Ovis aries: one gene and its partners. The protein of the gene in region 4 interacts with the protein of the main gene of each other region in a pairwise test. Links are inferred from orthologs where the notes say so. Each region holds a gene or a part of one and is shown on either strand. Other genes may lie near its edges. The genes, in order: DCTN2, FAM13C, TEAD4, CCDC172, HDDC3 and SMARCE1.

Region 1 (4,058 bases), on a different chromosome or scaffold from region 4:
AGTACTGTATGTCCTTCTGTACTTTTCTACTAAGTAATGATGGTAATAGAGAATAGATTTGGCAAATACTTGCTTGGCAAAATAAAAAAGTAGCAATACTATGCCTATCCTCAGAAAGGTTTGATATTGTTTTAATTGTACTAAACTGTGAAATTCAAAAGTCTGAAAACCATTAGTGAAGGGATTAAGAGCACAGAGGGTGCTACCAAGTGTTTATTAACTTGTGATAGAATTGCCAGATTCAAAAACAGGATGCCTGGTTAAATTTGAATTTCAGATAAAATAGTAAAATGTGTCTATTTTATGTATATGTCCTACATATCCTATGGGACATACTTATACTATAAAGACTATTAGTTGTTTATGTGAAATTCAAATTTAACTAAGAGCTCTGTATTTTATCTGACAGCCCTAACCTGGTTAGTTAACTTTCTCATTCCCAACACGATTAAATCTCTATTAAAGTTACTTATTGTTGTTTCAAAGCCCTGGCTGTGCCTTAGCAAACCTAGTTGTGTTGTTTTTACCCAGTCATTTAATTTCTGGGAGCTTGACATGGCTAGCGGTTAGAGAGCATCACTGACTCAATAGATATGAATGTGAGCAAACTGTGGGAGATAGTGGAGGATAGAGGAGCCTGACGGGTTACGGTCCATGGGGTTGCAAAGAGCTAGACAGGAGTTGGGAGAAGGCAATGGCAACACACTCCAGTACTCTTGCCTGGAAAATCCCATGGATGGAGTAGCCTGGTAGGATGCAGTCCGTGAGGTCGCTAAGAGTCGGACATGACTGAGCGACTCACTTTCACTTTTCACTTTCATGCGTTGGAGAAGGAAATGGCAACCCACTCCAGTGTTCTTGCCTGGAGAATCCCAGGGACAGAGGAGCCTGGTGGCCTGCCGTCTGTGGGGTCGCACAGAGTCGGATACGACTGAAGCGACTTAGCAGCAGACAGAGTTAGCGGCTGAACAACAAATTTATCCACCGAAAAACAGGAATTGTAAAAGCTCTTTCACAGACTCGCTATAAAGACGAAAGAAAATAAGTTATGTGACACAGCTCCCAAAGCGCGTTAACGTCGGTCCCCACCCAAGCTGGGTGGGCCAAGACTGCATATCCCACAATCCTAGGCGGCGGTTTCCTGCCATTACCTCATTCCCGGCCTCGTTCTCGCCAATCCCTGCCTCTCCAGGGGTGTGGTAGCGGGCTGTTCTCGCGACTTTTGCTTCACCCTTCCTCTGTACTACTCCTGTCGCGAGACTTCCTGCTCCTCCGCCTCCTCCGCCGCTCCCTTTGCGGCCGCCTTAAGCCGGACCGGGACCCATCCTCTCCCCCACCCGAGCACCGGCCCCGGCTCTGCCGAGGCCCCGGTCCCCCAACCCTGCCTCGCCGCCGCCATGGCGGACCCTAAGTACGCCGACCTTCCCGGCATTGTGAGTACACGGCCGGCCCTGGCTCCCCAAGACCGCGCCCCCAACCTCCTAAAGACCCCTAACAGACACCAACCCGTGACCTTTCCCGCCTGCACCCCTCTTCAGCCCCGAGGGCTCCTGCCGCTAGCTCCCTGACCGGCCCCAGCACCCTTCGGACTCCGACCCGACTGGGCTGGGCTATGCGAAGGCCTACAAGGCCCCTTTCCGGCAGTCGCCGGTTTCTCGGCCCAGAAATGGTCTCTAGGCACTTAGCACTGTCCTCTAGTGCTTATTACCATCCGTGTCTACACCTCCCGTGTCTCCCAGATATTCCCATAAGACCCTCACCCCCACCTCAGACACACAGACCAAGCCATTTGGTGATGGCCTTCACTCTGCAAAGAGTGAGGAGGTTACCGTGACAGAACCCCAGATAGAGAACTCTTGTCATCTAGGGAACCTCCTTCCCAAGCCCGGCACATGCCGGCATGTACCTCCCTTTGTGTTGCCTTACTTGCATTCACGGGGTGGGGGGTTGGAATAGGACCTTGTGTACTAAGGTCCTGAGTCACTCTCAGCCCTTGTGCCAGGGTAGTGTGTGCAGGGCCTAATGATGGCTCCTCTCCTACTTCTGATTGCCCAGGACCCGTCATTCTTCAGATTCAGGGCAACATCTTTGTCATCACTTAACACTCACCATTTACCATCAGTCATCTCCACTGTTATCCCCACCCCTGTTAAGACATGGGAAATGACAGGCAGTTCACCCGGCAGGTGAAAGAAGGGGCGGAATCCTGGCATCACAGCCTGACTTCTCTGTTAACTTGTTCAAATGGAGTGGGGTCAGGGGTGTTGCTGGGTAGTGAGGTTGGATGGTCACTGCTTCTACCTGCAGGCCAGGAACGAGCCAGATGTTTATGAAACCAGCGACCTGCCTGAGGATGATCAAGCAGAGTTTGATGCGGTAAGACTATGTGTCGCCTCAGGACTCCTGTGGATTCTGATCTCTCTCCCAGGCAGGCCCTTTCCCTTTGCTGGCGAGCCACAGCAATAAGCGGGTATGCCAACCCAGCCTGGGTGGTATGTAGGTTGCAGGACTTGCAAATGAGCAATGCCAGGAAGGAGAGTCAGGTCAGTGGAATTAAAACTAAGAGGCCTGATACTTAGGCCTTTTAAATAAAATTGAAATATTTCAAAACAGGCTGGGTGCTAGTGACTTAGGCCTGGTAGTGCTAGTCCGTGGTAATGCGTCATGAAGCCTGCGCATTTAAAAAGTGCATGAGTTTAAGACCTAGACCTTCTATTTCATAAAATATATCTCTCATTCAATGTTCATTAACATCCTAACAAGCTAGACTTTGAAGTATAGAGGAATACTATACGTGATTTTACGTGAGTATCCAGAATCCACTAGGCAAGGAAAATGAATTGGAGACTTCAGAAAGATAAGAGAACTAGTCAGAGCAGAAGGAATTTGAAGAAGAACATAAATATTTCATATCAGCAGAGGAGAGGACTTGATAGCACTTTCAGATTCAGGAAGAACTCAAGAGGAAAGAATTAGCTATGGACACATTTTAACCATAAGGGAAACCACTTAGCATTGTTTATTGAATGTGTTCATTTTGTGTTGATTTTTGTTCAGTACAGAGGGAAAAATGTCCCTTCCCTCAAAAATCCCCCAGACTAATGAGAGAGTTAGGATACATATAGGAAATATGAAAGAAAAAACTGAGTGAATGAAGTGAACATAGTGGAAACCCTGAGTGTAAGTGCCAAGGGGAGCAAAGATCTGTTCACATGTCTTATAGGATGTATTTTAGGTTCTATAATTTGCAAGGAGAGCTGGGCTAGGGTCACATTGATGGTATGAGATCTCAAAAAAGTTGTGACTAAGAGTCAGTGGAAACAGGCTCTGTATGTGTGTCTGTGAGTCCTGTGGCTACGTTTGTGGGGCTGGTTAGTTCTGGAGAATGCTGGTTGCTGGCTTATAATGTATGGCTTGGCGTACTCACTTATTCCTTATTTGATTCCCCCATGTGGAAGTGGTTCCTTCTTTGTGGGGAACACCTTCCTTGTCCCCTCTCTGAGTGGTGTGTTCTTGTTGCTTCTGTACTTGCTGGCATGTCAGTCTGTCCCCCAAACTTGAGTATCTGGAAATAATGCAGGTGGTGTCATTGCTCAGGACCTAGGTTTGCACCTTCACTCTAAGAGGTATCTTATTAAGAAGCTATTTATGACTCAAAGGGCAGAAGTATATATATATATACTGAGGACTCCATTCTGCTACCATAGTTCAGAGACTGTTCAGCTCTAGCCTAGGGCTCTATCTATAAAATATCAAGCCTTCATGGTGAAATAATGAATGGAAGTTTATCCCTTTGTCACTGACCATGATCAAACAGGTAATATAGCAGTCCCGTTTCCAAACCAAAAAATAAATTGTAATTTTCCATTCGAAATCATGGGCTGTCTCTTAATAAGAAGAGCATGACCTTCATCCCAGGCATGGAAGAACCTGACTCTTCTGCGCTGATTGGCTGTTTCTCCCTGCTGAACCTGAGCAGCCTATTTTAGTAGCATCTAGCGGGGTGTCTGATGGGCTGATGTTCATTTCCTGCAGCATGTAGCCAGAATACCAGTATA
Region 2 (4,097 bases), on a different chromosome or scaffold from region 4:
CCCTTTCTTCCCGTAGGAGCCCTGATCCTCTGTTGTCCATTTTCATCACCCAGATGTTTTCCACTGAAGCATGCCCATGCCACTGTCACCGAAAGCGAACCATCACTTTTCAGATTTCCGAGCTGTTGTAGTGTTTCCCAGTCCCTACCCTTCCCACGACTTTGAGAGATGAACTGTCCTGAGTTGTTTCTGACACCCTCTTGCCTAGATGCTGCAATGTTTTTATTTTTCCTCTATGCCAAACATAACCAAACTATTATATAAACTGCTTTAGTAAAATACAAAATAATGGCTTATAAATGGTGTTTAAATATGCTCTCATTTTAATCTACTGAACAAATATTGGGATAACTCCAAACCGCATGAAAAAGTGTAATTGCAGCATGAGTTAAATCTTGAAGCCTAGAATTGTCAGCACTTCCAACTTGTTGTTTGACAGTGTTATTTATGTTATTTATATTAGCTAACAGGAAACAACTACTGTGTTTCAACATAATAAATATAATAGAAAAATATTTTATTTGTATTGTTGTATAAAATATTTACAATCTTATAGAATATATAGAGTTACATCTTAATAGCAATTGTATACATGTCACGAAACCATTTCCCTTATCAAAGATGTAGTTTGTAAACCTCAAATAGTTGTGTATCTGTCCTGTTACAAGTACATAACTTTAATTAAACAAATTTGTGAAGGACATTATTCTGATTCATAAAGGTTATAAAATATCAGGTAAATATAGGTAACTATAGAGAAAACAGTAAGCCTCTGAAACCATCTGCTTCAGAAATAGTCAATCCCAACCAAACTATATGAAAATGTGAATTTGTTCACCATTGTGCTTAAACATTACAGAAAAGAGAACTACAAACGTGGCTGGTATGAGAGAGAAAATGTGGACCTTTTACTTATTTTTACAAAAGCAAAATAATAAACGTGGTTTAATACAAAATAACAAAACAATATACACTGAAGTTAATGATGCAAATAAAGTATCCTGGCTTCTTTTCCAAGGTGTTACAGCAAACAGGTACTAAACCTTTCATTTTATACAGAATGAGTAACAACTATAGTTCATGGGAAATTTTTTTGACTTTACAAAGTATAGACCTTGGAACATTAAGAAAAACACATATTCCCAATGGAAAAATAGTTTATATATCTTATAGTAAACAAAAAGATTAGCTATTATAACTATGATCACATTAGATTATATGCTACAGACACATCTATCCAAAATACCTATTTTCAAATTTTAATACAATATTTTATTTTAATATAAACATCTGTCAATTATAAACAAAGATAATTCACAAAGTACATGCTATCAGAATGAACTTTGGTAATCAGAAATGTAAAATTTTAAGGAACAGATAAAATAATGTGCTATTTTTATATAGAAATAAAAAATTAGCAGTGACACATTCTAGTATATTTTAGGGTGCTGAAAGCCTAGCAGACTTAAGGGACAAGGTAGTAGATTTTTTATCACTTAAAAATCTATTAGAAGTTTCAAATAAATTACATTCTTAATGACTGTATCCCTTTCTATGTAAAATGAGTTTCTTTTGTTGTTCTTATTGGGTTAAAAATCATGCTCTTTCCGTATGTCAGTATAAGCAGTCTTTGGACATTAAGTAGACTTTCTCTAACCAGTGGTCCATTTAACAGGTGGACACTTTTTATTACTTAGGTTTGATACAATACATGTTTTCTGAAGTAATTATACTGACTGCATTTTCTCCTTGGCATGGAGAAGGCTGAATTTTATTTTCCAATTATATGTTACTTACTGTATTTTCTCCCATTTTAATCCCTTCTATTCATGTATAATTACACTTGCCATCCATTCTTAACAACAGCTAATACTCCCACTAAAGTGCTTCAGTTTTCAGTTGTCATACTACTTAGCAAGAACGGCAGAGGAAAATAAACTTGCCTTATCACAGGTGAAAGTGATCACAAACATTTCCTGAACCTCAAATAGTTTTGGCCACATCTTGCTTGCTGATGAGGACCTCTAATAGTCTCAGTTTGGCTTTTATATGCTTGTATTCATAGTACTCATCTGCCATTGGTATCCGATCTTCCTTTTGTGGACTTCTGCAAAAAATATATATATATATAAATGCATTAGATCATTAATGAACCAAGTCATTAAAAATCCTTTTTTAACTCTTGTGAGAAAAGTACAGGGTAACAATTTCCGCTAGATTTTTTCATCAAGTCTTTTTTCCTCTCCCTCTTCCATGTGTTACTAGGTTTCAATGTAATAGTGCTCTGAGAAGTTAAATATTATAAGTGTTTTGCAAAACATTGTCCAGTGCATAGACATATAACACTGGGGAAGAGGAAAGGTCTGCGGGAAATAAAAACCAGAACCCTCAAGATATTTTTTTACCTAGTCTTTCTTCCATCATCCAAGCCTGTGCAGAATATTCAGCCCTTATAGTGATAGTTGTTTAAAATATCAACCTAAAAATACTACGAAAATTACATTAACAGAAATAACTTATAAATCTATGGTAATAGGAGGGAAAAGTTCAGTAGCTACCTTACAAACATGAATTATTTCTAAACTTTCTTGTAATTATAGTCCTATCTCTGTTAATGTATAGAAGAGTCACAGAGAAGTTCCTTTCAGAAATCTGAGTCTAAATTGTAGTGGTTCTTTGCACACTGATCCTACTAAGACTAGACTACGGATCATGCCCAGTTTGATACATATGCCTCCTAACTGCCAGATGTTCTTGACATTTACTTTGAAGGATAATTGGGTAACATCTGGAGTTAAAATCATCTGCCTTCCCAGAAATTTACATTGCCAGGATATGTTTTCTAAAGGACAAGAGTTAGTTCAGGATCTCCTTAGTTAATAAAGATGGCCAATTGCTTTTAAAATATTTCCACCCATGACTTTGAAATACAAGGACTGGAAAACCCAGATGAAGTCACCACCACTGCTATTGAATATAAACACAGATAACATAAACTCTGTAACATAAGTATAGCTGAAAATGGGTAAAAAGCAAACAGCCTATACCCCTTCTATTTTACCAGTACTGATAAAGTTATATTTCTTACCAATAAAAGAACAGCTAACAGTACACATAGATTTGAATACTGTTCTGAGTTCTGAACTAGAAATTTCAGGGCAGTATATATAGTGTTAACAACACCAGTAGATAACGATATTCTTTGGGAATCTATAAAGAGTCTTCCCTGAAATCTCTAGTTCAGAACTCAGAACAGTATACAAATCTACAGCCAGAGTTCCTTTTAGACTAACATAATTCCTTTGACTCCATTCTGTATTCTGGGCCAAACTTATCCCAACTGGGTATCTAAATGCCACCTTAATTTGTGTAAACATACCTAAGTGAAGAAATAGTCTAATTTATAGGGAAACACTAATAGTTCATGATGCAATTATCTCTGGTCCGGCACACTCCTCTTTATCTAATAAACAAGAATGCATTGTACTAAGTATTTCCTTAACCACTTTTCTCATTATATAAAACATACATAAGCATTTAGCACAGGTCCTGGCTCATAATTGTTAAGGTCATACCTAGATAACTATGCTTCTTGCATGATGACTCTTACCAAGAACATTCATAGAACATTAAATTTTTTAATTATCTATTTGCATGGTTATTTTACCTATGGACAGGTAACCCTTCCCAATGAAATGTTTTAGAAAAACAAGATCTGTATTTCGTAGCCATTCGACTATTTGATTTTACTTGTAATATGGCACCGCTTCTGCCTTTAGTTTAAGTGTATTACCACAAGAGGGCAGATAACCTCAACCAAGTAGTAAGCATATCTGAAGTGGGTTTCCCACTCACTGGTGCATTTAAAATACTATACATAGAACATGACTAACTTCCCTGGATGTCAGAGGCATGCCAAGTACCACTGCAGACCCATTTGGCAGGACTAATAACACACCAGAAGGTTCTCAAACTCTTTAAATTGCCTGTGTTTGGATAGGTTAAAAAATGTAAAAGTTGTATAGAAATTTTGTAAAGGAAAAAAGAAAACAAATTGTTTTATATTCTGAATTTAACAACCACATAACATTTCTCAT
Region 3 (3,500 bases), on a different chromosome or scaffold from region 4:
CCTAACTCACCCATCATCTTAAAGCGTCTTTCTCACCACGGTGCTTCCAGCTGAGAATCCATTAGAGGCTCCCTGGTGATTGTCCCTCTCCGTGCACCCGGGCACCATCCCGGGCTGGTGTCTGTCCTCCGTGTGTTGGGCCACGTCCAGTGTGCCCCCACTGGGCAGGACTCGGGAAGCTGCCCTTGGACAAATGAACAAGGGATTCAGCTCACGCATCCAGTGTGTGAGCTGGTGTGTCCAGCGTGGTCCTCTGCCCGCTCCTCTGCCATCTCTTCTCTGTCTCCTCCCCGAGCTCCTGACCTACCTGCCTCGGCTGCCCCCTCGTCCTGTCTCTTACCAAGTCCTGCAGTCTTGCTCCCTCCATGTCCCTCCTGTGTCCCCTCCTCTTCACTGCCCTCTTCTTTTCCCCCCTTGAGAAGAGCCCACGAGGCCCGCGTCTCTGGCCAGCACTGCCCCTGCCCATTCCTTCGTCCACAAGGAACAAGATGTGCAGAAATGCTCAGCCAGTCGCTCCTCGGCCCTGCTTAGAATCCTCTGTCACCCTCCTGAGCTCAGGCTGAAACCTGTACTCCCCACCCAGCAGCCAGGCCCCAACTCTCAAGCCTCATTTCCAGCTCCTGCACAAACCTGCTGGATGGAACCTCCCAGCCCACTGAGCGTCTGGCCGCCCCGTGCCCTCTGCCTGCAGCCCGTTCCCCTGTCTCTGCTGCTGCCTCCTGCTCCTGCCACATCACTTCTTTTTATTTTTTTATTATTAAGTTTATTTTTAATTCGCGGATAATTGCTCAAGATGTTGTGTTAGTTTCTGCTGTACAACAGTGTGAATCGACCATAAGTATACATATATGCCCTGCCACCTGAGCCTCCCTCCCACCCCTGCTGCATAACCTCTTTAAGCATCACCTGCGGAAAGCCTTTCTGACCACTGCCAAGGTGGACCGGGAGCCCCCCTGCAGCGCTCAGTCTGTTTTCATCACGTTCGTTGCTTCACTTAGTCACAAACCTGCATGCCCTTCTGGGCCAGATGCTGTCACAGGGGCTGGGCAGAGACTTGTGTCATTGTAGTCATTTGTCCAGTTATCTTCAGGCTGGACCTGAAGCGCCTCCAGAGCAAGAACCAAGCGGTGCCTGCCCTGGAAGCCCTGGGTCCAGCAGGCATTCCACTCGCCCCCTGCCCCCAGCCACCGCCGTCCCCTTGCCCCCCACAACCTGTCCCCGGTCAGCATCACCTCCCTTGAGAGCCATCCTGTGCCCAGAGGGGACTGAACTGTCAGGACTGAGCCCCCTGCCAGGGCTGCCCCTGGACCGCTGGCCAGTGCTTTGCCCCCACCCCCATGCCTGCTGGGAGGCACACAGCAGGTTCCGATGGGTCTGGGGGTCTGGGGGAGGCTGGTGTGGGGAGGCCGTGTGGGCCGGCTCCCATGTGCCGTCCACCGCGTGCAGGGTTCGAGTCTCCGGCAGGACCTGCCCCGTCGCCCTCTGCGCCCCCCGCACCCCCGTGGCAGGGCCGCAGCGTGGCCAGTTCCAAGCTCTGGATGTTGGAGTTCTCTGCCTTCTTGGAGCGGCAGCAGGACCCCGATACGGTAGGTCCTAGCCGTCGCCAGCTGGATTTTCTCCCGCCCCATCCTCATTCCTGGAGCGTGCTGCTCCCCAGCCTCCTCCAGCTCCAATTTTGCCTGCTCTGGCTTTCTCTCCCTGCCCTCTGCCCTGCTCCACCTTGGGACTGAATTTAGGTTCCTGTTCCTTCTTATCCTCTCCTGGTTCACCTGTCCTCCCCCTGGCTTCTTTCTCACTGGACCTTGCATCTCTCCCTCCCTTAAGCCTCCCCTGGTCTCTGTGCCCCACCCTAGTCCCCAGTCCCTCACGCCCTCCTTCCTCCCATCTAGTCACCTCTCCCTCTGAAGACGCTGGTCCCAGCCCCACCCCAGGCTGCACTGCGCTGTCCCCTGTGGCTCCAAGGAGCCGTCTGTCTGCCGCACATCCTCGGGGGCGCCAGCAGGAGCGGCAGCCCACCCCCACTTTGAGCCCTTCTGTGTCTCCATCCTGGGTGGCCCGCGTCACCTGCAGAGTTCAGAGTAGCACCTGGCCGGGTGGACAGGAGGCCAGAGCCTGGGAATCTTCACTAATCATTTCAGTTTAACACTTTTTTTTTCTTAAACGCTAAGATTTCTCGAGGTCCTTATTTTTTCTCAGTTTATTTTAAATTGGAGGATAATTGCTACACTGTGCTGTGTTGGTTTCTACCATGCAACAACGTGGATCAGCCCGCATGCACACACATATCCCCTCCCCTCCTGAGCTCCCTCCTATACCCCCCACTCCCAGTTTGACATTTAGAAGCTTATTTTTCAGGTGAGGAACTTGTTAGTGAGACAAACCCTTCCTTGGAAGCCCAGCATGTATTGTGAAAGCAGTGGATTTTCTCGGATTGCAGCAAGGGGTTCCCAGCCCCCGCCCCCCACTTCAAACGGGGGAAACACCCCTTTTCTGGTTCAGTGGTCTTCCATCACAGATGAGATTGAGGGGGTCCAAAGATAGAAATGACCCGCCTAAGGATATTCAGTGACTGAGCCACGACTCAGAATAGTGCAAATAGCGACCAACGCATGCCAAGCGCCTGTGGGGGGCCGACCTGCCCCAAGTGCGGGATGCCTGTTTACTCTGCTGTGCACCCAGCCCTTCTTCCTGCTCCGTGTCACCAGGGGGGAGACTGAGGCCCTGCCGTGGCATCCCTGCTCTGGGCCCCTGGCTGGGCTCGGAGCCCCAGGGCTGGTCCGCCCGCCCCGCAGCCCCTCAGACTAGCTCTCCTGTGCCCACAGTACAACAAGCACCTGTTCGTGCACATCGGCCAGTCGAGCCCCAGCTACAGCGACCCCTACCTCGAAGCCGTGGACATCCACCAGATCTACGACAAGTTCCCCGAGAAGAAGGGCGGCCTCAAGGAGCTCTTTGAACGTGGACCCTCCAACGCCTTTTTCCTCGTGAAGTTCTGGGTAAGTCTCTGGTGGCCTCTTCCTTCCTGCCCTAGCTCGGCGATGACCAACTGCCCCGAGGGAAAAGCCTGGCCAGGGAGGCCTGGCTGGCAGGAGGCACTGATGGGAACCCTGCCCTGGTCGGGGGAGACAGCAGCGTGGGGGCCCTTCTCACCAGCACCTGCCTTCCTCCACTCAGAGATAACAGTCTGTGTTCTAGCCATCCTCAGATGAGAGCCACCCTAGACCCCCATCTCACAGATGGGGAAACTGAGGCTTGGAGTCAGCAAGGGCCTGGCTGGGAGACCCCCAGCCCCAGCGAGCCCGGCTCCTGCAGTCCCTCTTGTGACGGGTGTGCTGCGGAAAGTCAGGGCCGTCGGGAGACTTTTATTAGGGTGTTTCTTCTTCACTGGGCTTCCCAGGTGGCACTAGTGGTAAAGAACCCGCCTGCCGAGGCAGGAGACGTAAGAGATGCGGGTTCAGTCCCTGGGTCAGGAAGAGCCCCTGGAGGAGGAAATGGCAACC
Region 4 (3,500 bases):
CAAGATTGTTGTAAGTACTCATGAAATAATATTTAATTACATAGAATGCTACCTGGATAATAATTAAACCCTTAAAATATAAGGATTATACTTTTTAATTAGCTTAATTTCATAGATGAAGGAAATGAGGCTCTCAGAGATAAGTTGCTTTGGGTAGAGAGTGTAGGACAGAGGTTCTTCAGGCATACATATAAGCATACATCTTATAGGCAAACATCTGGGACGTTCATATATATATATATTCATATATATATATATAAATGATCAGGAAGGAGCACAATACAAAAACTAGAACTAGAATAAATGTATTAAAAACTGTTTTTAGATATTAAGGACAAGAAACTGTCCAAGGCTATGATTCCTAAGAGAAGGAAAACACATGAGGCATGATTACCTAAGCTTATACCTGGTTACAGTTTTTTGACAACAGGAGTGAGAGAGGGAACTTAAACAAAACACAGTGGCATGAATGAGTCGAGGATACAAAGACTGGAGTTCAGGGAGGCTGAGTTAGTTGAAATTTTCAGGACAACGTACTGAGAGGAAAGAACTGCACAGACAAAACCTCCAGAAATCTTCATAGAGGTTGCTTTGAGTCTTTGGCTATATATTATTCTTTGCATACATAGGGGAAAGTCCTCTAGACTGAATAAAGAAAAACTGCTGGGGAATCATAAGGTCAACAATTCTGTGAGCTCACACAAGACTGAGAGACATTCATGTTCCATCCTTTAAGAATAGAAAGAGCTCATTAAACAGAAGAATCCTGCCTTAATAGTAGGATTCAATTAGCCTTCGACCTAAGGCTACTCTGGATACACTCTAAATCTTAAAAGCACGGTTTGAACCTAATTATGTTACCTAACTGCATGCTAAATAAGCAGGTATCAACATGCTTGAGGGGAAGAGAGCAAAATTCAAACATCAACAAAATAGTAAACAAAATGTCTGGTATCCAACCAAAAATCACTGTATCTGTGAAAAAGAAATTGTATCTCATACCAAAAAGGAAATTAGGTCAATAGAAACATCTCCAGAAATCACAGAGATAATGAAATTCACAGAGAAAGACTTTTAAAATTGATATTATAAAAATATTCAGGACCATGAGTATAATAGAGATAAATAAAAGATATAAAATAGTAAAAAATTCAGAAAATCATTTGGCAAGATCCAACACCCTTTCATGATAAACACAGTCAATAACGTAGACATAAAAGGGACCATTCTCAACCTGATGAAGAGTATCTTTGAAAAACCATGGTGAATCTTATTTATGATGAAGGAATGAGAATTTCTCATCTAAAATCGGGAAAAGATGAAGATATTCATCCACTCCTAGTATTTGTATCCAGCATTTTACTAGAGATTTTAGCCTGGGCAATCAGGCAAGAAAAAGAAATACGAGACATCTAGATTGAAAATGAAGTAGTAAAACTATCTCTATTTGAACATAGCATGATCTTGTGTATGGAAATCCTAAGGAATCCATAGGAGAACTATTTGAGCTAATAAACAAGTTCAGGGAAGGTGGCAGGTTATTAGATCAATATATACAAGCCAAATGGACAATTTGAAAATTAACATTCAGTTTGCAATCAAAAAAGAGTAAAACACATTTAACAAAAGTTTAAGACTTGTATACAAAAACCACAAAAAACATTGTTGAAAGAAGTTAAAGGAGACCTAAATAAATGGAAAGTCATCTCAAGCTGATGGATTGAAATATCGAATATTGTTAAGCAGTACTCCCAAAAGTATATTGACCCTACATTGCTTACATTTTTACTACACAAGAAAGAGTTAATCATTCTTGACAGACATAAGGCAAAGCCAAAAATAGTTAAAATGTGTTTTTTTTGCATATTTATTTCTAGAAATGAAGTCAATGGAACATGATAGTGACCTGTTAAATGAACTTCAGAGACAAAAGAGTGAATTAATACAAGAATTATTTACTTTGCAGAGAAAGCTTAAAGGTATTACATATATGAGTCTTTGCTGATGAATATAGTTATATATCTATCATTTGTTGTTCAGTTGCTAAGTTGTTGTGTCCGACTCTTTGTGACTCCATGGACTGTGGCACACTAGGCCCTCCTACCCTTCACCATCTCCTGGAGTCCGCTCAATTCATGTTCTTTGAGCCAGTGATGCTATCTATCTATCTCATCCTCTGCTGCCCCCTTCTGCTTTTGCCTTCAGTCTTTCCTAGCATCAAGGTCTTTTCCAGTGAGTCAGTTCATATCAGGTGGCCAAAGTATTAAAGTTTCATCTTCAGCATCAGTCATTCCAGTGAATATTCAGGGTTGATTTCATTTAGGATTGACTGGTTTGATCTTGCAGTCCAAGGGGCTCACAAGAGTCTTCTCTATTATAGGTTAATATTATTCTTTCAAAATGTATTTACTCATTGAGATATAGGTGATGTAAAAAGGGGATTTTTTTTGATGTGAAAAAGGAATAGGTAAAGCACTAAATTGATGTGTTGAATCTGGTATTTTTAATTTCATAAATTTTAAGATCTTTTTTTGTGCCTTTAAATGCTACATTAAAGTAGAAAAATAAAAATCATTAGTACATGTATTTTACACAAAACACCGAAATTTAGAGCATTGTTCTTATGAATGAAGAAAGATAACCTTTATATTTAATTTTTTAAAGAGTATAAGAATTGTCTTAATTGTTTAGGTTTTGAAGATAAAAAAAATGGAGCCATTTGTACTACTAAATATCTAGAGGCAGAAAAAATAAAAATCAATGAAAAACCTCAAAATGATGCTGAATGCTTAAGGTAAGAATTGCCTATTATACTTTGATATAAATCTGGTAATTTTTAAAGTTGTCAAGTAGATTTCAACATAAAGCCAAATGCATAATTATTTCAAGATCATTCTGAAATATGTTAATAAGCAAATGCGTTACTGGTTAAAAACACATAAGTTTTAAATTGTATCAGGTTGATAATACTGAAATCAGTCTTATCGTTTCCTATTCCTCAAGAACTCTTGAGTTATTCACATCCTAAAAGATAAAATGTAGAATCATTTCCACAACTCTTTTTTCTATTATCCCTAAGTTTTTGGAGTGAAATGACTGAAATTATCTTTTTTGGTCCTTCTAGATTTCAGGGGGAAAAAAATTACAGTCTACTTTACTTAAAATCTGTGCTTCTGGTTTTGTACCTAAAGATTTGAAAATATATTTTCTTTATGGAATATTTAGATGTTTTCTGTGTATTTAGATAATGAAAGAATGGCTGAGGTCTGAAATGACATAGTTATATACCAAAGGAGTACATCTCCCCCAGTTTATTAATTTCATTGTTATTTCTTAATAATTCAGTGTTAACATTTGCTGGCTTAATTTTAAAGAGCTTCCTATACTTTCTAGGTTTCATGTAAGAAACAGAAACCTCATTACTGAATCTATGAAGAGGCAAATGAAGCCTTCTTTCACATAAATCATATAGGAAATATGTCCACTAGAGCTGAACAAAT
Region 5 (3,614 bases), on a different chromosome or scaffold from region 4:
TGGGGCACCCAGAAGTTCTTGTGGCTTAGCAACAAAAGGAATCAGAGATGGGATGGTGGTGAGACAGGGTGGGATGCCCACCGCAGCAGGTTTCCGTGGCAACCTGGGGTATGAGGGACCCTCCCCCCTCACAGGCCCTATCATGTTGCTGCTGAGGACTCTGCTGAGCTCAGCAAGATCTGCCAGTAAGCAGGGTGGCACTTCTTTCCAATACATATGTTAACTTCTTTCCCACTTGACTTCCTCAGTGAGGAAGCCTACCAATTTCTGAGCATCTATGTGTCAGGCATGTCACCTAGCTCAACCCTGATAATTACACAACCTATCCCACTGATAAGGAAACCAAGCTCCAAGGGGTTCAGGCCCTCAACCTGAGGGACCTGTCCCAGAGGGCACACAGTTGGAACCCTGCCCTACTGAAGGGCAGATATCTCCTCCTGACACACACACATCGGTTCCCCACTGGGGAGGCTGGAGGAGGAGCAGCAGCAACTCGAAGCTTTATCCAAATGTTTTATTTTGCATAATGACTTTCAGACCAGCGTTTATAGATAAGCCTAAGTCCCTGAGGGGCCAGAGATCCCACCGTGCAAAACAAGCAAACCCAAGGCCTGAAGCGGGGCAGTGAATGCATTAGGAATGGATGGGGCACATCATCCCACAATCTGGGGCTCAGCTTAGTTGGCAGATCTTCAGACTCAGAAAAGACACGTGAATTTGGTCTCTAATATCTGTGCTGAGTGAACCAGGGAGGGAGCTTGGGAGGCATGGAAAGGCTGAAGTATGCGTCTTCTCTGGCCTGGGCAACAATGGCTCCAAGCACCACTCAGAGTGTCAGCCCCCGCTCCTTAAACAGCTGCCTTAGAGCCTCTTCCAGCTGTCGGTTTGTTCCCTGGAGCCCCTTCACCACCTGTGCCGCCCACTCGAAGTATTCCTGGACTCGGTGTTCAGACCATCCTGCATAAGAGTGGACAGAAAACCGCTCGTGTTGATGTCCAGGAGTGCCCTGGATTTTGCCCAGTTCCTGAGGGGCTTGGCGCAGGGCCATGAGTTCTGATGGATTTGTACTGAAAACTTCCCCTTGGCCCAGCTTCTGTATTTCTACTGTATGAAAGAGCAGAGGGGTCTAGTAAGATTAGTCTAAGGAATCAACAAGAACACTTGGGCTTTTATTCCAGGGGAACTGACCAACCTGTGCCTTCAGAAGATGGCTACCCCTCCTTTTCCCCTCAGAGCAGGTGGGGGATAGCGTACCCTCTGGGGTGCAGCGATTCAGGTCCCTCAGATTGTACAGCTTATCTGCCAGCTTCACCAGTTTAGCTCCGGGGCTGCTCTGGGGTGCCTGCTCCACCTGCAGCCGCTTTCTCTCCAGCTTGGGCAGAGTCTTGTCATCTGTCACCTCCTCCACCAGGCGCCGCACTTGGTCCCCAAAGTGCAGCTCCACCTCATCCAGGGTGGTGTCTGTGTCCTCCACTGTGTCATGGAGCAGGGCTGCCTGCGGACAGGCTCCCACTCAGTCCTGGGACACCTGCCAAGGGGTGCCCGAAGCTGATTGGGGCCCCTGATCCCCAACCCAGCCTCCTAGCAGAGGAGGAAAGTTACCTGTAATACCACAATGTCAGTGATCCCCGCCTCGTGGGTCAGGATCCGAGCCACACCTGACGAGGCAAAGCAGGAAGTCAGGAGGGAGTTCAGGGCCACGTGATGTGGGTTCGCAGAGCCAGAGGTGGCTGCCCCTCACTAGCGGGGTGACCTTGGGCAAGTCCTTTACTCTTTTTTTTTTTTTTTTTTGGATGTCCACTGTACAGAGAACAGCCATGCCGACCGCCCCAGGTCGCTGTGAGTCTTAAACACGAACTGTGCCTGGCACAAAGCTAGATACCGACTAGGTGCCCGAGGAGCTGCACGCCCTCCGCGTTCCCTTCCCGGTCCCCAACCCCTGGAGGCTACAGCCGTGGCTCCCCCGGCGGAGCGCCCACCGATAGGGTGGTTGATGTAGGGGGTCCCTTCGGGGTCCTTCCGCCGCTGCCGTTGGTGCTTGCGGGCCGCGAAGTCAGCAGCCTCCAGCAGCTGGGCCACCTCGGAGCCCATCGCGCAGGTGGGGCGGGTACCTTAGGTCCTAGGCGCCCGGGGAGCGTGGACCCAGCGTCCACAGCGCCCCCTGGCGCCGCGGAGGTCCGGGAGGTGGTGGAGTCTGGTGCGGAAGCGTTCTTCCGGGTCTGATGGGTGGACCTTGGGTGTAGGAAGCTGCTGCCCACAGCTTCGCAGCTGCTAGTTCAGTGTGCTTTGCCGAGGGTGCATGAAGAATATGGCCTGGCTCTCTGGGAGCCCGCAGCCTGGGAGAAGGAGGAAAACAGAAAAGAAGACAGTGGCCTCACTGTGTCCAGAGCAGGAAGGCGCAGAGGACTGTGGTAACTTGGAGGGAGAGCAAATCATGTAGCCTCTGGGCCAGAGAGAACTTCTCTGGGGAGGACCCTCTCCCGTCATGAAAAGACAATTTTCAAGCTGCCAATGCTCTGAACATTCTCAAAGTGCTCTAAAAATAGTTCTCCCTGCAAGAATGGCCTGGTTGCTATGGGCAAAGGAGCCTCACACTAGGGCCCAGAAGATCCCTTGGGTCTGCTGCTGCTGCTGCTAAGTCGCTTCAGTCGTGTCTGACTCTGTGCGACCCCATAGACAGCAGCCCACCAGGCTCCCCCTTCCCTGGGATGCTCCAGGCAAGAACACTGGAGTGGGTTGCCATTTCCTTCTCCAATGCATGAAAGTGAAAAGTGAAAGTGAAGTCCCTCAGTCATGTCCGAGTCTTAGCGACCCCATGGACTGCAGCCTACCAGGCTCCTCCGTCCATGGGATTTTCCAGGCAAGAGTACTGGAGTGGGGTGCCATTGCCTTCTCCGCCCCTGGGGTCTGACCTGGAAATTGGAGCTTACAGTGGGAGCCCTCCGTGATGGTTTCAGAGAGACTCCCAGGCCGTGGTGCTGTTTCCTCCGGAACTGTTTTCTTTGCTCTCAGGTGCCAGGAACAAAACCTGCATGTCTTTCTCGTGCCATGAGGGCTCCTGCTTCAGTCCCCAGGCACTGCTGTGGGGCCCCTGGGCTTCTGAGCGTTGTCACCGTTGTTCTGAGAGCATGACCTTGTTGTCAGGCCTCCATAGACACTACAGCAACACAACACTGTGGGCTGGTGACCTCTGGTCTTTTGGAGAAATCCCCTCTCTCAGCAGACAGTACCTATGAAGTATAAGGTTTGCTGAGACCGGGAGACCCTGGAAGAGCTGTCCCTGTGAAGTGGAGTTGGCTGATTGCTAAGTTTACTCCAGTTGATTAGCAGCTTTTGTACTTTGGCTGGTAGCTGGGGCCGATGAGGACTCAGGGGACAAGTTAACGAGAGCACTTGCTCTTGCTTTTCAGCTGGTCTTGGTGGTTGCCACGATGCAGAAGTTAGAGAGGGAAGCCCCAAACGCTGGAAACAAGGTCTCTGGGGCCTGAAATGGAACAAGCTGAATTCCCATGGCTTCCGTGGCAGCCTGAAAGTTAAGAGTGGGTGGAGAGAAACATATCTGGTTCTAAATGCGTGTCTGTTCTTCAGGCTAGTGGCTCGACTTGGCTCATTCC
Region 6 (4,045 bases), on a different chromosome or scaffold from region 4:
TTAATAGAGATGAACAAGAAAAGTGTTAAACTTGCCACTTATTTCTAATTAAAAAAAGAACTGAGCATAGGAGGTTGGCATTTCAGTAGTATGTTTCTTTAAATGTTGGGGTTGGTTCAAGGTAAGATGCAGAGTTATTTTATTTAGTAGGAAGTGCTGTTTTTTAGCTGAATTTTTCATCCTGTTGCTGTAATGATTGAGTGACTGTCACTGGAAGACATCTGGGTTTTTGTATCAAGGCCAGACTTGGCTATTACATTAACAAGAAAATTAAAACTTACTGTTGCAGGAGCTGGGGTGGGAGGTGGGGCATAAGATGGTCTTTCTGTTTGAAAGAAAATAAATAACTTCTTGTAAACAACTGAGATATAATACTATGCAACAAAACTACCAATGGTCCTGTTTTGAAGAAAAAAAAATGAGAGTATTTTGGAATTCCCATTTGCTAGGGCATTAGTCTCTTATTAATATAGATTGATAAATATAAAAAATGAAACTTACTTGACATTTTGGAAGATTAAGTTCTCAGTTCCTTAAGAATGAATCTGAGACACTAAAATAAAAAAAAGGAAAAAAAAAGAAAAATAAAGATAATCAAAACTCAGCAAGCATAAGAGAATGTTTTTCTAAAGAATAGGGTAGTTTGATATTTCTTTGTAAAATTACATTATCTTCTAGTAATCAAGCCTTTTAAATATTTTACTAGTTCTTTAGGTCACTCAGTTGATCAGAATTAAATGACTAAAACAAATGACAGGGGATATTAAAAAGTAAAATTAGACATGTACTTGCAAGTTTTTGTTTTTTTTTGATACTGAGCCACCTCTTGTATGGAAAACGTTTCGCTGATGCCATGTAAACATTTAATCAAATCGGTAAAAATACAATGACAAAAGAATATGATGTATTATTGGGGCCTACCTCAACAAGGCCTACCAGACACTGACAGCTCCATGACCAGCCACAGCTCTGCCTTCCTTTTAGGATAACAACTTCTTTCTAGTAAAACAGCATTTTACTCCTGAAGGCAGTGGAAAAGGTAACTGGTGTGACAAGAAACTTCACATTCTCTTATAGGAGTAATGGAGCTTCCCTGGTGGCTCAGCGGTAAAAGAACCCGCCTGCCAACGCAGAAGACTTGAGTTCAATCCCGGGGTTGGGAAGATCTCCTGGAGAAGGAAATGGGAACCCACTCCAGTATTCTCCCTTGGGGAATCCCATGGAGAGAGGAGCCTGGTACCCTATAGTCCATGGGGTCGCAAGAGTCAGACACAACTGAGCCACTAAAAAACAACATGATGGTAAACAGCTTCATAACCGCTGGGAATAAATTTCGAGAGTCTACTGGAAAAAACTCTTATTGATCTTTCTTAGCTCAACTCAAAATATATCTCCTCAATGGAGACTTCTGGACCTATCTGTACAAAATTAAATGTTTCCTCATTTGTACTCCAATTTACACAGATCAATATCATATTACACCTGCTAATATGGGGGCTGAATGGAGACAGGGACCAGCTAGTTCATTATTGCTGTCCCAGTACCTAGCTCAATTTTTACCAACTTCAGTCCTAGTAACACTAGCTCAGGACATGACCACACACACGTGAACTTGTTCCTTACCTCACTATACATTACACACCATGTGTACAAAGAGATGAACATTCATTTTCACAAAAAAGGCAAATAACTTCTATGACTACTAGAGTATTTTCATCCGACATTATGAGAAACAAACATGATTTTTTTTTTGCTCCTGTTTTGTATTTTAAGGGCATTTCTGGAGCATTATGAGTAAGAGGCCTGGTGTGGAAAGAAAGAAATCATTTATTTTCTCAATGGCCCAACCTGGGTCTCCCTCTCTCCTTAAGGTACATGCAGGACACCAGAGTCTAATGCAGATTTCCTTCCTGCTCAAGCTTGGGTGGGCTGTCAACATCCAGTAGGCCTTGCTGTGGGGGGCCCTGATAATATCTGCCACAAGCTCCCAGGTGTGTCACATTTTATTAACACTCTAAAATTACTGGTCTCTTTTGCTATACCATAAATTTCAAGAGTGATCTCGTACAATTGTCCACCACTGTATGCATCTCCGGTGCCTGGCATAAAATCCTGGAGAAGTTATTTGTTGAATACCTTATACGGGACAGGCTTACTACTTTCACACCATCTGGTTTAACAGTCACACTACCAACGAGGTGTGTACTGCTATTGCCATTTTACAGAGGGAAAAAAGGAGTCTCGTTCAGTATAAGTAACTTGGCTCAAGACACAGAGTCAGGAAGTGTCAGAGCTGGGTTTCAAACCCAGGCCAAACTGTTGCCCAGCTTTCGCTTTTCACTCCAAGCCACACCGTGAGTCCTCAGATCGCTGCCTGGGCAAGGGGAAACCATCTTCCTGGGGGTGAGGACCACGGGCTTAGCTTGCCCCAAGGGCTTCCTCTGAGACCGATTCGGTTTGGTTTGATGTGTAGGTGCACTTTACCAGCTACTCTACTGAAGAGGAGCATGCAGAAGCGCCTTGACCACTTCCGTGGGGTTAGTGGAAGGGGCACTTCTGGCCGCCCAAGAGGAGCCCCAGATGGGACTCTCTCCCCACCCTCGCTCCGCTAGGCCTCAAAGAGGCCGCAGCCGGCCCCCGGCCCTGGTCCCGCGGCCAAGCCTGAACCCCAGCAACCCTCAGCAACCCCAGCCAAGCCGGGACCCCACGCCTCTCCACCCTCCCGACCCAGCCGGGCCCAGTCGGAAACACTCACCCGCGGGCAGAAGAAGCGCCCGCAGCTCCGGCCTCGCTTCCCTTTGTCCCGCGCACGCCCCGCCCCTCGCGTCCCGAGCTTCCGCGCTCGCACTTTCAACACTCTTCTTAATTCCTTTCCAGGCCCCACCCGACTCTCTTCAGGAAAATAAGCGTTCTCGTGGGGACGCGGTGGTGTTTAGCACAGTCAAGGATTTTTTTCAGGCTCCATACGCTCCTCAAAACTCCCCGAAAGTCAGTACTTTGCCAGCCGGGCGCCGATTCGTCACTCCGGAGAGGGAGGAGGTGGCCCGGCCGCGGGTAGGCCCGGCCGCGCGGCCCCCAGCGAGCCGGAGCGGGGACGGGAGGCGCGGCGGGAGGCGCGAGGCTGAGCCGAGGGGGGGCGCGAGCGCGGCCTCAGCTTCCCCGCGCGGGGCCGGAAGGCGGCGGGGAGCGCGCCCGGTCGCCAGCCCCGGAACCTCTGTGGCCGCGCGGCCCGCGCACCACCCCGGCCGGGCTCAGGCCGCGCACGCCCCCCGTCCCTGCCCCCGAGAGTTTCTGGGTTTTTTTTCCCTTCCGGTCTTTTTCTTGACTCTTTCTCTGGGAGCTGGAGTGTATATACTTCACCAAGCCGAGGATGGAGGCGTGGAGAGCCGGGTTTACAGTTTCCGTCCTCCTGCGCGCCTCCCAGGGCTTCCTGCCTTAACCGCGGGCAAGAGCTTTGGCGAAAGCAGCGCAGATCTTCCCAGCTGTTCCCAAGCGCAAGGCTGGTGTAATTGTCACAGGTTTCTGAGCCAAGGCCCGGAGATGTAAATCTCCTTGCCCCCGGTTGTGTGTCCCTGCAGCGCTGGGCAAGGGGTCTGTGTCCTAAAGCGCCTTGGCTCATTCGGTTTCCTCTGCCAGGAACGACAGTCCTTCACTTTTGGGTTTAAACTCATCTGTCCTTCCGGATCCAGCTCAAATTCTGTCCCTGATGCCCTCCGGGAACTCCCTGCCTCACGCGCCCCTCCTCCTCCCAAATTAACAATTATGGCCTTTACCTAATACATTGTATCAGACTGTGTTTGTTATTCTCAGTACTCTATGAGAGCCTTGAAAGCAAAAATTCAGCGGTCTGCATTGGTCATCTTCCTATAGCCAGTGCCCAGTAAGGCCTTGAACCATTGTAAGAAGCTCAGTAAATCTATATTGAGGCAGGCTATGGTCTAGTCCAGGACTCTTTTCACTAAATCATGACCACGTTGATGTACTAGATAGCAGCCTCTCCTTGGATACATAAACACTTGACCGACGTGCGCCACTGCAGAGAGGG

Evidence for each region.
Region 1: the proteins of CCDC172 (region 4) and DCTN2 interact in binary tests that used the Homo sapiens proteins (3 or more experiments, as listed by UniProt). The two-hybrid records come from large-scale screens. The link is inferred for Ovis aries from reciprocal best matches to the Homo sapiens genes CCDC172 and DCTN2.
Region 2: the proteins of CCDC172 (region 4) and FAM13C interact in binary tests that used the Homo sapiens proteins (3 or more experiments, as listed by UniProt). The two-hybrid records come from large-scale screens. The link is inferred for Ovis aries from reciprocal best matches to the Homo sapiens genes CCDC172 and FAM13C.
Region 3: the proteins of CCDC172 (region 4) and TEAD4 interact in binary tests that used the Homo sapiens proteins (3 or more experiments, as listed by UniProt). The two-hybrid records come from large-scale screens. The link is inferred for Ovis aries from reciprocal best matches to the Homo sapiens genes CCDC172 and TEAD4.
Region 5: the proteins of CCDC172 (region 4) and HDDC3 interact in binary tests that used the Homo sapiens proteins (3 or more experiments, as listed by UniProt). The two-hybrid records come from large-scale screens. The link is inferred for Ovis aries from reciprocal best matches to the Homo sapiens genes CCDC172 and HDDC3.
Region 6: the proteins of CCDC172 (region 4) and SMARCE1 interact in binary tests that used the Homo sapiens proteins (3 or more experiments, as listed by UniProt). The two-hybrid records come from large-scale screens. The link is inferred for Ovis aries from reciprocal best matches to the Homo sapiens genes CCDC172 and SMARCE1.

Annotation. Positions count from the first base shown.
Region 1 is NC_056056.1:162,110,059-162,114,116, forward strand, and holds the start of DCTN2 (dynactin subunit 2), read left to right. Parts: upstream 1-1,258; 5' UTR 1,259-1,397; coding exon 1,398-1,433; intron 1,434-2,307; coding exon 2,308-2,376; intron 2,377-4,058. UniProt on the Homo sapiens protein: Part of the dynactin complex that activates the molecular motor dynein for ultra-processive transport along microtubules. In the dynactin soulder domain, binds the ACTR1A filament and acts as a molecular ruler to determine the length.
Region 2 is NC_056078.1:14,231,855-14,235,951, forward strand, and holds the end of FAM13C (protein FAM13C), read right to left. Parts: intron 2,108-4,097; coding exon 1,984-2,107; 3' UTR 501-1,983; downstream 1-500.
Region 3 is NC_056056.1:212,620,794-212,624,293, reverse strand, and holds part of TEAD4 (transcriptional enhancer factor TEF-3), read left to right. Parts: intron 1-1,446; coding exon 1,447-1,586; intron 1,587-2,822; coding exon 2,823-2,996; intron 2,997-3,500. UniProt on the Homo sapiens protein: Transcription factor which plays a key role in the Hippo signaling pathway, a pathway involved in organ size control and tumor suppression by restricting proliferation and promoting apoptosis.
Region 4 is NC_056075.1:36,318,834-36,322,333, forward strand, and holds part of CCDC172 (coiled-coil domain-containing protein 172), read left to right. Parts: intron 1-1,877; coding exon 1,878-1,979; intron 1,980-2,691; coding exon 2,692-2,794; intron 2,795-3,500.
Region 5 is NC_056071.1:21,044,047-21,047,660, reverse strand, and holds HDDC3 (guanosine-3',5'-bis(diphosphate) 3'-pyrophosphohydrolase MESH1), read right to left. Parts: upstream 2,115-3,614; 5' UTR 2,092-2,114; coding exon 1,980-2,091; intron 1,659-1,979; coding exon 1,603-1,658; intron 1,496-1,602; coding exon 1,255-1,495; coding exon of another isoform or gene 1,193-1,254; intron 958-1,192; coding exon 827-957; 3' UTR 501-826; downstream 1-500. UniProt on the Homo sapiens protein: ppGpp hydrolyzing enzyme involved in starvation response.
Region 6 is NC_056064.1:40,602,566-40,606,610, forward strand, and holds the start of SMARCE1 (SWI/SNF-related matrix-associated actin-dependent regulator of chromatin subfamily E member 1), read right to left. Parts: upstream 2,801-4,045; 5' UTR 2,756-2,800; intron 554-2,755; 5' UTR 509-553; coding exon 502-508; intron 326-501; coding exon 282-325; intron 1-281. UniProt on the Homo sapiens protein: Involved in transcriptional activation and repression of select genes by chromatin remodeling (alteration of DNA-nucleosome topology).